Linked DNA regions of Tribolium castaneum. The protein of the gene in region 2 binds, or shares a complex with, the protein of the main gene of each other region. Links are inferred from orthologs where the notes say so. Each region holds a gene or a part of one and is shown on either strand. Other genes may lie near its edges.

Region 1 (6,441 bases), about 13 Mb from region 2:
CAACTATTAGCCATGCCCCAGGTAATTTAGTTAATTTGCTTTTTGATTTTTAACTTAACTAATAAAATAAATTTTTAAAGGCCTCGTGCAGCCCCAGCACCAAGTCGCTTTTCTCGGCCCTCCAGCCCAAAGGCAAGGAGGAGGAGGGAGAGGTTTACTCCCTGGCGAGCCTACAGGTGAGTTAATTAACGAGAAAACAGCCAAATACCTAAAATAGTTGACATTCAATGTTCTGTGACTTTGTACCTCGTTCTGGCGCTAAAATAAGCCCACTTATGTAAGCAACAGTTGTTTACATGACGAATCAATTGCCCAGTTAAATGTATAAAAGAAAATTAAATTCGTAAAAATGCACGTGTGACCTAGCCAAATTTTTATTTATAGGAGCAAGTTGTTCCCGAAATATTGGAACAAGTCGAACAACAACCGACATATACCGTTTTAGACGCGTCCACAGTTGGGGACTTCCCCGCTGTTTATACCGTGTGTTCCCCCGAGCGGCACCAAATGCCCGCAGTTGGGGTTTTCGTCGACAAGCGCATAGTCCCTGGTTTTAAATACCGCGTCCGGCCTTTGCCCCAAATCGGCCAAGACCCCACAATGCACAAGTGCCTCTTCAATGACTCTGCCCTGACTTTGAAAAGCATCGGTCGGGGCTACGCCCGCAGATTCACTTTCGAGGCCACTGATAGTCTCAACAACAACGAAAACTACTTCTGGAGCGACAACCGGCCCGAAGGCTACGCGTTCGAGCTGGAGGTCATCTCCGAAGGGGACAAGTTCACCATCTTCGACATCAACAAAGAGGCGCAAGGCACCGTGGAGGTGCTACAGCTGGAAGTGAGTACCGTCTTCTTCCCATTTTTTCTTGACCAGTTTTCGCAATTTTTGCGCATTTCCCTTGCATTATTTTGTTAGAAACATCCAGCAACAGTCCGGAGCCATCTCATACGTTCACGCACTTAAGCTGAAGTGGGTGTAAGTCTTTCATGCGACGAATGACTCGTACGGGGACGTTTTCTTATGATGCTCACTCTTTCAGGGACCTCAATTTGAAATTAGTAATGTTTACAGCAGGCAAAATATCGAGAAACGGGCCAATGTTAGGTTTACGGGTAAGGTTGAGTTTTACGAAACGGGAGTGGCGAAGCCGATGCCTCTGAGCGGACTGGCGCTGGCTGTGAAGTACAAGCACAAGGGGGCTGCCGAGATCGTTAAAGTCCAAAATGTCGTGATAAACAAACAGAGGTACACCCTACTCCCAGGCATCCAGAAAATACACAGGAGAGTCACCGTTAAAGGGCGGGACATTAACGACGTCCCCACTCAATATTCCATGCACGGACTGGAGCCCTACGAACTCCCCGTTGTTGGTAGGTGACCGCATGGTTTGAAATTTCAAGTTTGACTCATTTCGCGCCTTCAGGTACTTATGTGGATCCCCGAGTCATCCCAGGATTCCACTACAAGGTCAGGCCAAGTGACAGGAAAGAACACTTGTTTGGTGGACGCGCTTTGAAGCTTTTAAGTATCGGAATGGGTTATGCCAAACGATTGACCTTCGAACCTGACTCTCTGCTCAACCCTGACAATTATCTATGGTCTGATAACCATCCCGATGGTCTCGGTTTGGAAATCAGAGCCGTTCATAAAGACATGAAGTTTGTAATCAAAGCTGGGGACCAGATTTTGGGTGAAGCTACAGTTTGGCGAGCTGACAAGCCTCAAATTGAGGAAAAAATGGAGAAGGTAAGTCGCAACTAGAACGTTATATTTTCTGAAAATTTTAAAGAATGCAAGATCGTTTTTCAAAATTTTGGGTTGGTAATGAAAAATTTTCATTAGTGGAATTGAACTTAATTTTTGTAGAGATTAAATTTTTCTCATCATTTCCAGGTTAAGACGCAGTCTGGCAAGCACGCGATTGAGAAATACGTCCACATTGACGTCATGTGCCACATTGCCATTGCTATTCCCGGTGGAGGATGTGACGAAAGCAGCGAGAGATTGATGCGCGTCTATGGCTTGGCTGTGGTGCGAAAAGAGCCCAACAGAAATGAAGCTCACGTTATTAGGGTAGAGAATGTCGGTTTGGACTCGCAACTGAACGTTTTGTTCGCACAAACTCACACTGAACTGACATTCTTCCCCAAAAAATAATCTCACCTCATTTATACTACTTAACGCCACACTCCATGGTAGTTGCAATATTGTGATTTCTTAGGATTTAGTGTTAAGTTATTTTGTATTTGCCTACTTATGTACACTTATTAATAAATGATTTTTGCAATAAAAATCGTGTTTTTTTTTGTACCAAATCCTACAGTGGGTGGAAGAAGATGCCTTTTAATTCGGTATCACACAATTTTTTTATTTCTTCTACAAAAATTAATGAAATAAAAAAATAACGTAACATTTTATACTTACCGCTTATGTCGATAAGACTTGCATTTTTCTGCTGCAAAGCCACGTAAAATTCTCTAGAATTCGAGTTTTTCGCAACAACCCAATAGTCATTCATTGTTTTGACTATCGTCTCGCTAGAGTGGCCCAACAGTGATCTCTTATTGTTCAAATCAGCCATTATTTTTAAAGATTCTTTGGTACATGCAATGTTTCCCGTTTGTTTATTATCCAAATGCGCTGTGCTTTTGTAAGCCAAATTCAATTTATTGAAATAGATAAACCTTGGAGCGTTTTCGGGGACATTTGATGGCGTAATCACTTGTTTGGAACAATATTCGGAAATATCTGACACGATTGCAGTCAATTTGGGGCTAATGAACTCGTCCATGTCTTTGAAATATTGCAAACTTAACTCCTTGTCGGCTATAATTAACAATTAATTTAATAAAACCAAACAAACGAAACAAACCTCTCATAAATAAACAAACGGACGCACTTAGCGCCCTATAAACCACCAAGTTGTAGGACTCGGCCTTCCCTGAGGCAAATAAATAAACTTTGGGTATTTTCCCCACATTTTTGGCTGTTTTTAAATTTGTAGGTCCCGTAATGAAACGACCGTGATGTAATGCAGCAAAAGGTGAAACAGAATTACGGGGCATTGAGCCCCCTTGAAGTTCAGCCTCCATGTTGGCGGGCAGTAAAGTGCCAATTAAATATTGGTACACAATTTTCATGTCTTTGGGTTCAAAACCGCTCCTTTGAATTAGTTATTACTTATAAAACAAGTTTTAAGTTATTTGAATTAATTACCATATGAGATGATCGTTGTATAAGAACGCTGTGTACGCAATTTCGGGATACTCGCATTCAAGTGAATTGATAAAACATTGGACTTTTAAAAAAGTTAGTTTGTCAAGAGGCAGATACTGAATTCCGTGGAACACGTTCAGAATATCAGCATGCCCTAGTTTTAAGGTTTTCAGATACTGTGAAGTATAAATTAAAATTTCTTAAATAATCTTGTTAACTTACAGCTTTATAGAAACTTTCAAGTCTTGTTTTAAGTGTGCCCACATCGTGGTTCTCAATCGTGTGTTCAAAAGTGCCCCAGAAAAGTCTATACGTGTAATAGGCTTGTTTTAAGACGGCTTCGTAAACATTGTCTTGTACATCATCCTCGAGATATTCGATTTGAGTTGAACTGTCCTTCCCCTTAACTTCGGTTGGTAAAGTTAACGTCTATAATATTTAGTGCTTAAAAGTATTGATTAAAGATGTGTAAATACCAAAACAATCCACATATTTTTTTCTGGTTGGAAATACAATTGACGCATTTTTTGCGTATGTAGTGAATTCACTGGAGTGCTTGGTTTAAATGTGCTACAAGAAATCTTACAGTTTTTTGCCCCTTATCTCAAACACTTTACCCAGTGAATTGAATGATCCCCTCAACTAACCCCACATTCTTTATTTGTACATCGGCATTGTCAGATATTGGATAATAATAAAGAATTTTTTTCAGTTCCTGGAAAAGACATTGTGATTGTGTTCTAAAAGGGGCGTACGCACCTCCCCTTCCTTGGGGCCATATAGAGAATTGAAAATAAAAAAGTTTTTTAACTCCACGTCTTTGTTTTTACTCATAATTCCGGTTCGAAACTTATTGAATAATATTATGTTTTTAGAAACAAATTTTTCAAGTCCAAAATTTTTACTAGGTTATGTTATGTTTAGCAATATCCATTGATCCATATTATTCATTTGCCATACATCTCAAACATTAAAAATACGCGGACAGGTACCAAAGTACCTACTTTTGCCGTCAGTTTTAGAACTAGAGCATATCTATTGTATAATTATTCCTTCCTCAAGTGTCTTTAATATTTTTTAAAGTTGTTTGGGATTAGGGAAATTGCAAGTTGCAACGCAAAGATTGACATATAATTTGGCGCCAAAAAGTGTAACCCTTTTTCGAGGTTATTTTCGGGTGTTCCTTTTTCTTTAAAAATAATAATAACGAGTGCAAAAATGGACTTATTAAACTGTAGGCCCGACCAATGGTACCTAAACGAAACGAAATATTCGGAATTACTTCAAAACGAACAAATCTGGAATCAGGTTAGAAAGTTACACTTTTACAATTTTTGAACACTTTGTACATTGTTAGATTCCACTGTTGAATGCAAACGAGCTGCACAATTTCCAAGACTGGCAACTGGTTCGCTTCCAGGGCATGATACAGGATATGCACGGTCCCGAACTCTACTTGGAAAAATTCACTGTTACAAACACTGAAACTGCAGAAAGTACTATTAAATACGGCAAATACGTTGATGGTGCAGACTGTAAGGTAAGAGTAATTTTTTGAAAGCTATTCGGGGGCTGAGTATGTGTTGACAGTCTAATGAAACCATTGAGGAATGTCCCTCAACCACTCCAAGTGAGCGGCATGTTTACGTTGCAATTTCAATCCCTGGTATTAATCCATGGGTTCATAAAGTGAGTATTGTTTTAATTGAGGGGTTGTGTAATAAAAAAATTAGCTTGAGGAGGACAGGTACAAACTACCGTCTACAAGCTCTTCAACTTCAGTGCACTTAAAACGACCCGTTGAAGAAATGGAAGTCGCTAGTGCAACTGAACCATCAAACTCTAACAAGCGCCCATGTAATCAGTCAGCACAACCTGCAGAAACAACACCTGTTGTTTCCCAAGAGTACCTTTTAAATTTCCCAATCCCCAATCCGTCTGGCAAAGTATGCCACTTAAAAGTATACAAAGACATGGACAAGATTAAATTGAACTCAATTTGTGAATTTGTGGGCTTTTTGTCCCTCAATCCGCTTTTAGGGGCTAACATTGATGATGATATGAACGGTCTGGAGTCTCAAATTCACAATCCTCCTCCGTGTTTAATTCCTAGAATTCATTGTGTGTCGTTCAAATCATTGACTCACAATAATCCATTAGTTACGCACGAAAAAATGAGCGCTGATAAAATGCAGATCATTAGAAAAGAACTTTTGATTCTATTAACACAATTAATGTGTGGAGATGAATTGGCAGCCGAGTATTTAATTTACCACTTCATTTCTAAAGTGTAAGGGAATTCGCACATTTGATTCTGCTATTTTTCACGTGTAGACTTTTAGCTACTTGCGGAAAGATTTAATGGCACTTGGAAAATTTTCCTTAAACATTTCCAACGTCCCAATGCTTGAAAACATTGATTATGTCCAGGAAATTTACAAGTTTGTAGAGACCCTCACTACCAAAAGTCATTATTTGCCGATGTTGCTCGAGAATATGAATGAGCTCAATTTTGTTCCAAAGTAAGTTCCGTAGCACCGTTATTTCAGTTTGTGTAAAATGATTCTTCTTGGCTTGTTTTTGAAGAAAAGACTACAGTTCGGATCGTTTAACAAGTAGTGTTTTGCAATTAAGTGATAATACTCATTTGGTGTTGGACGAGACGAAACTAACTCCGGGAAAATTAAACGAGGGCGGAGTTACCGGAGTTCGCGCTCTTTCAAACACCATCAAGAACCAAAAAATCATGTACGATTTCACGTACTATCAGCTCGAGTATGATTGTGATATTCCGTTTCTTGTGTTTTCTGAAGGCAAATCAATGCTGCCGGTTTGTACTTATCACTTTGTTAAACAGTTTTGAAAAAAATTTTTCTAGAGCGATGTTCATGTAATTCTCAAACCAGAAGAAATGCATTTAAAGACTTTCAGCGAGATTCTGGAAGCGGCAAAACATTTCCTCAAACCTGAGCTGCTAAATGATATTCGACTTTATCTAACTAACGCCCGGTTGACCCAATATGACTTATCAGACGGTGTGCTTGAGGTAAATTGCATTTTTTGGTGTCAATTATCAGGAAAAAAAAATTGTAGATGGTCCAAAATAAGTTTGTTGAAATGAGACAAGCTGGTAACATCACAGGAGACGATCTTCACAGTCTCCTTGTTTTGGCGAGACTTGTTTGCATCTCACAAGGAAGAAACACCTTGGATGAGGAATGT
Region 2 (5,226 bases):
GTTATTAAAAAAAATACAATCACCCCTTATAAAATAGGTCGAAAACAAAAGGATAAGCATTTTGTCTGTAATAATTATCAATAGCTTTTTTACATTATATTTTATTTTTTTTATATTTACCTACCAGAAAGCTAAAGGACTATTCTGTGTGGTAGTTCGTGCAAGAACAAAGGTCCTTGCAGCCTGTTCGGTGCCACATTAGAAGTATCTAAGTCATAATCCGTTGAGTTCTGCTCAATGGAAATATTTTCAAGATGGCAGCACTTCCGGTTATACCGGAAGTCGCTCTCAACTTTTTTATTTTAAATGAAACGCTGTTTTTCACTGCAGTTGAATTATTTAAAGGGAATTTTTACTGTTTTTCCCTATACTTAATTTTACCGTTTTCGAAATATTTAAGATTTTTTGAAAATTTTTGGATTTGCACCACTCACTTAAAAAATTGGTAACTCTCTTAGTTTCAGAGATTTCGAAATCATATTTGGAGAATTAAAAGAGAAGGCCCATATCCAGTGTGTCCAAAATTGCGAAAGAAGTTAATAAACTGTAAAATTTTATGGTTAAGTTTTGACAATTTCAAATACCCACAACTTAATTTTTTCAAATAAAATGTCCCAATTTTTATTTTAGTAACAAAATTTCTGTACACTGTAAACAAAAATGTCGGTTGCCGTTTAAAAAAATAACAAAATGACGTCTTAACTCAAAAACCAATGACGTTACAGATGTTACAAAGATGTCAAAATGTATTTTTTAAATACAAAAATAACGACTTGTTCAAAGATTTTTGTGCAAAGTGACCTACTACAAAAATATGAATTTTATACGTTGCTTTAATTTCCCTATAATTATTACACAATAAGAATTAAGATAAGCATTTTTTCTGCACTATAATTATTCATCTTAATAAGTTAATTAACATGACTTAATTGAGTCAAATGACCGACTTTTTACTCGTCAGTATTTTCGTATTGCACTACGTATTTTGGTTTAGGGTTTGTCAAATTGTCACCCAACTCTTGCTTAAGGAATAAATAAATTTCATTTTATTTTTCATTTTTGAAATTGATTAATTTCAAATTTGAAAATGCAATTTGGGGAAAAGATCCATCAGTATCAATGCATTTTTTTTAATTAAGTTTAATTTAAACTCTCTTCTGGAAAGTAATGTTAAATGTTACAAGCTTTTCATTAATTACAATAATTAATAACCTTAGGTAGAACTGATGGGGTGGTGAGTTGGTGCCGTACTCTCTAATTTATTTGTTCCTTATAATCGGTAGCATCAAAATTAATCGTTGTAAATTCTTGAACATTTTTAGTATGTGTATGTTCGGGCCAATAAGTAATAACTACTAATAACCCTGCTATTACGTGTGTAAGTTACGCAAAAAGATGATTTTGGTATAAGATGAGGAATAACGAGCAGTAAAATTGTTGACTACAGATTACTTTCATCTTAGTAAATTCAACCAATTATGCATTTAGTAAAAACCATAGGTATGAAAACAATATAGAGGGCAGAATATGTCATCCATTTTTTTATTGCTTTTGCATAGAGAATTAATTTAAAACAAATCATTATCTTCTTATTTTAAAATTAAAATTATAATTTCGTTAAAAAGAAAAAATATCAAATTATTCTTTACCTACTTTATGCGATAAAGTTCATTTTTGCTAAATTAAGGCGGTTCAAAGAACCCTTAATTGCAATCAAATTTTAATTCGCAACTAATTTGACTTTTGTTAGAGTAAATGATAAATGGATTAATGTAATGTTGAATTAGATTTTAATTCGTTTTCTGTAAACCCACTGTAATTCACAAATTTAATATCATTCATGACAATAATCAAATTTCACCATTCCAAGGAATGTTTATGAATTACGACATTTGTGACCCAGAAGTTTTATTGTTGTGGTTTGAGTTCCTGCTCCTCGCTAACCGGCCCGGTTTGTAGAGGTGACATTGTTTAGGATCGTGAATGTACCCTATACGAATCACTATTCCAAAAATCAGTTTTTTAGTGTTTGTAGTACATGTTGTTGTCCAAATAGCAAATTTCCCATTTCGCAATTTAATTTCACAAAGACAGCACCGATAGCACAGTTTGTTTCTCTTTATAAAAAATTACAATGAACTTAAGAATTTAAACTCGTAAATCACAACTTTGTAAAAAATGTTATACGAAACAGTAAAAGTTTCTAGTATAATTAGTTTAATTGTACTAATCTATCAAGCACAACTAGAAGTCAAGACAAAATGCATTTTTAATTTCTATTTTTTTTACTTGAGTTTGAAAGTTTATCAATCACAATGAAAAGGAAAACCCTACTCTAATTATAAATTAAAATGATCGCATGGTACTTTTGTCACCCAAGAAAATTTCGCAAGTACACCACCACAGTTAGCTCACCCTATATTTTTATCAAAATTTATCGCATGTAGTATGTACCAAATCGCTCCGAGTTATCTGCAGTTTTAAAAACATTGAATGTTCCTTCCGATCATAGGCGTCACGAAGCTCGCAAATATTCGACACCGCTTTACCCGGAGAAAGCGACGGTACAGTAAGGTACCACACGACAGTGGCGCCAGCTAGGTCATTTAAACCAGCTCAAATAACTCTGCCTGGATTGGTTGAACCTCAATCACACCTTTGCGAACTATGTGAGTTCAGCCAGCTGTTTTTTTATTTGACATTGTGTTATCAATTTAAGATTCTCCAAACTGGGTTGTTTTCCAACCGAATATTGTAATTGATGCAAAACTGGGGTGTTTGTGGCACATTAACTTGTGCTTAGCTGAGCTGTGTAGCTCAATCACTGACTTAGCCACTTGTACACAACTAGCGCTGAAGCGGACAAACGGCAAACCAATATTACTCAAAGTACGTTTCCTGTCTTACAATCTAAATTTAATCCAATTTTAAACATTTTTAGCTGCTTCTTGAAGCTATAAGACAACCTAAACCGCCTTTAGACAAATTGCAAGAATCCTTCAACCACATAAACAATGTCTATCGAGAGTGCCTGGAGGCGGAGCTGCAGTCACACACTGCCTCCCCTCCAGGGGCCCCCTCCCTGAAACCGCCCCCTCTGTCAAGGGTCCAAATCGACCAAATGGACATGTACAACGAAATTTTCCAAAAATTAGAAGCCGACAAAGATCTAGGCAAGCTCGAGTGGACTTTGATTAGTTACATGACGTCGCTTTTCGAACAAGGCATTCCAGCACAGCACAATCTGAACGAATTGCTGATTACAACGCTCGTGAAGCGAAAAAAATTCACAGCTTTGCAACAATTGCTCCAGTATGGGGTGGTTTCGGATTCCAAACCCTTGGCTTGCTTGCTCTTATCACTGGGTAATTTGCACCCAGCGGCGTCTCAGTTGGCGCTCGATATGTTGGCAAGACTGAACGCCATTGAGGAGATACAGGAGATTCTCTTGAGTGAGGGGCAGGTCTTGTCGGCCCTTAAACTGGGGCAAGAAAATGCCAACCCAAGGAAATTTCTCCAAGCGGCCCAAAATACAGGCGATGACGGGATGTTTCATAGCGTTTTGTATTATTTTAAAAATACGTCGCAGTTCGCGGGGGCTTTTAGCAAAGGTTGGTCATTATTTTATACGTTTGAGTTAATTTTTATTTGTATTTTTGTAGATGAAAGACTGAACCAATTCGTACAGCAGTACAACTCAACGTTTTTAGAGAAATAACTAATAAATAACATGTATATATTTTATTTGTACAAATAATAAAAATATAAATATCACAAATTTATACATAATTGCAGGTAGTAGTAAAAGAAATTTTCTAATGACGGAAAGTGTTAATATCCTAAGTAAGACTAGTACTTAAAAGTGGCCTTCTAGATCAGGCCTTGCGTGTGTCTTTGTTTCGACAGTATACTTTTTTACCGGCTGAGTGGCCGGAACTTGGCTCGCCTGCATTCGGCACTGTGGGCATGCCGTGTCATTTTCGATCACTTTGAGACACGTGACGTGAAAACAGTGCCCACAGCCCCATACTGCAATTGATTGTTCACCGCCCAACTCCTGACGAAAGACCAGCGGTTTCTGGCACAATTTGCAGCCAACATTAGTCACGGAAATCCCCCGACTGTTCGAACATAACGATTTCGCCAACTCTATAAAAAAAATTATTTCGGTCCAAACATTACCGAGGACTATAAATTGGGAGACGAAACGAGACACAGGTTACGATTTTCCTGTACCAAAAAATATAATACCGTGGATTATTGCACTGATCAAGTAATTATCATGCTTTCCACTAACTGTGCCACATCAGTGGCGTACGGTTTATCTCCAAAATAACTTGAAAAAATTCTTTGTAAAACGGTTATTCTAAGATTTTTTTTACTATTTTTCCCAGCATGTACTCATTCGATACTACCATGGGTAGAATTTTGTCGGTCTATTTAAGAATTTAAGATTAGTTGAAATATTTTTATAATAAAATTAGTATTGAATTTAATTCCTCGCACTTTTTTATCTTCAACCATATTAAATGTAATAAAAGTAGTAATGTTTTTATTATTGTTTTTGATAGTGTTTGCACTATCTTTATGTCTGGGTAGGTATGTACTAAGTTTTGAAATTAAAACTACTTTTCCATTGCAATTCTTGCTGATGAAACAAATAATTTCTATTAAGTTCTTTGATCAGTAATCTCCCGCTTAGCACTATACTTTCCGATATTTCTTTATTTTTTCTGCTAAGAAAGAGCTTTTATTGTTCGAAGAATTATTTTATCGAATTTAACTTGACTTGATAAATTAGTTCATTTAAAAAGATAAGTCAAGGTAAAACAATATAAATTAATTTAAAAAATTCATGTCAGAAATTTGAAGCAGATTAATATTAAATTTGACAATTTGAAAAACAAAGCCAGAAAATTAGCTGCGGGGAAAATACATACTTACGGGGCACAGAGAAGAACCATTTTAAAGCACAGATTCAGATTCCGCGATTGAAGCTGTTTAAAAATAAAAAAAATACAGAAAAAAGGAGATTATACAGCCTGTATCAGAACTCACTCCCCACCGGAAATGTGCGTATAGTTTGAGCAATTCTGAAACTAAAGTTCCTTCACAAAAAAATTCTAACTCTGTGTTTGGGAGATAAGAACGTTTGAAAATAACCATTCACAAAAGGCCTTGCTCTAGAGGACTAGGGGAACAAAACACGTTGCTAGGAAAACAAAA

What was found. Proteins that work in one complex are often made in the same cells at the same time.
Region 1: the proteins of Bulli (region 2) and Ccz1 are in contact, whole or in part, in a cryo-EM structure (PDB 8JBE), measured with the Drosophila melanogaster proteins. The link is inferred for Tribolium castaneum from reciprocal best matches to the Drosophila melanogaster genes Bulli and Ccz1. Residues at the interface, in NP_648047.2 of Drosophila melanogaster: Tyr395, Gly397, Phe407, Tyr464, Ser467, Met470, Leu471, Gln474, Asn477, Asn498, Arg499, Asp502, Thr503, Arg505, Arg506, Leu507, Tyr510, Met512, Asp530, Thr531, Ala532, Gln535, Ile538, Asp539, Arg543, His547, Ile550, Lys559, Asp562, Leu566; in NP_647835.1 of Drosophila melanogaster: Tyr188, Leu189, Pro190, Leu191, Asp192, Lys193, Thr194, Phe196, Leu197, Arg198, Gln200, Asn201, Glu207, Val223, Leu224, Cys225, Gly226, Lys228, Tyr342, Asn385, Gln387, Ser388, Pro427, Ala428, Asn447, Tyr448, Arg449, Asp479, Phe483, Lys485.

What each region holds. Positions count from the first base shown.
Region 1 is NC_087394.1:35,478,271-35,484,711, forward strand, and holds Ccz1 (vacuolar fusion protein CCZ1 homolog), read right to left. Parts: upstream 4,112-6,441; 5' UTR 4,054-4,111; coding exon 3,979-4,053; intron 3,935-3,978; coding exon 3,837-3,934; intron 3,790-3,836; coding exon 3,696-3,789; intron 3,649-3,695; coding exon 3,442-3,648; intron 3,396-3,441; coding exon 3,220-3,395; intron 3,166-3,219; coding exon 2,876-3,165; intron 2,830-2,875; coding exon 2,428-2,829; intron 2,380-2,427; coding exon 2,321-2,379; 3' UTR 2,227-2,320; downstream 1-2,226. Other genes in the region: uncharacterized protein LOC655748, read left to right, coding at 1-21, 81-176, 385-840, 1,043-1,373, 1,427-1,749, 1,897-2,160; mini-chromosome maintenance complex-binding protein, read left to right, coding at 4,438-4,527, 4,577-4,759, 4,810-4,908, 4,953-5,509, 5,562-5,741, 5,806-6,049, 6,098-6,265, 6,313-6,441. UniProt on the Drosophila melanogaster protein: Part of the Mon1-Ccz1 guanyl-nucleotide exchange factor complex specific for Rab7 that promotes the exchange of GDP to GTP, converting Rab7 from an inactive GDP-bound form into an active GTP-bound form.
Region 2 is NC_087394.1:22,494,617-22,499,842, forward strand, and holds the end of Bulli (regulator of MON1-CCZ1 complex), read left to right. Parts: intron 1-2,512; coding exon 2,513-2,669; intron 2,670-2,719; coding exon 2,720-2,889; intron 2,890-2,941; coding exon 2,942-3,611; intron 3,612-3,662; coding exon 3,663-3,718; 3' UTR 3,719-3,778; downstream 3,779-5,226. Other genes in the region: Vps8 (vacuolar protein sorting-associated protein 8 homolog), read right to left, coding at 3,857-4,149. UniProt on the Drosophila melanogaster protein: Positive regulator of the Rab7 guanyl-nucleotide exchange activity of the Mon1-Ccz1 complex, possibly by enhancing its endosomal membrane association.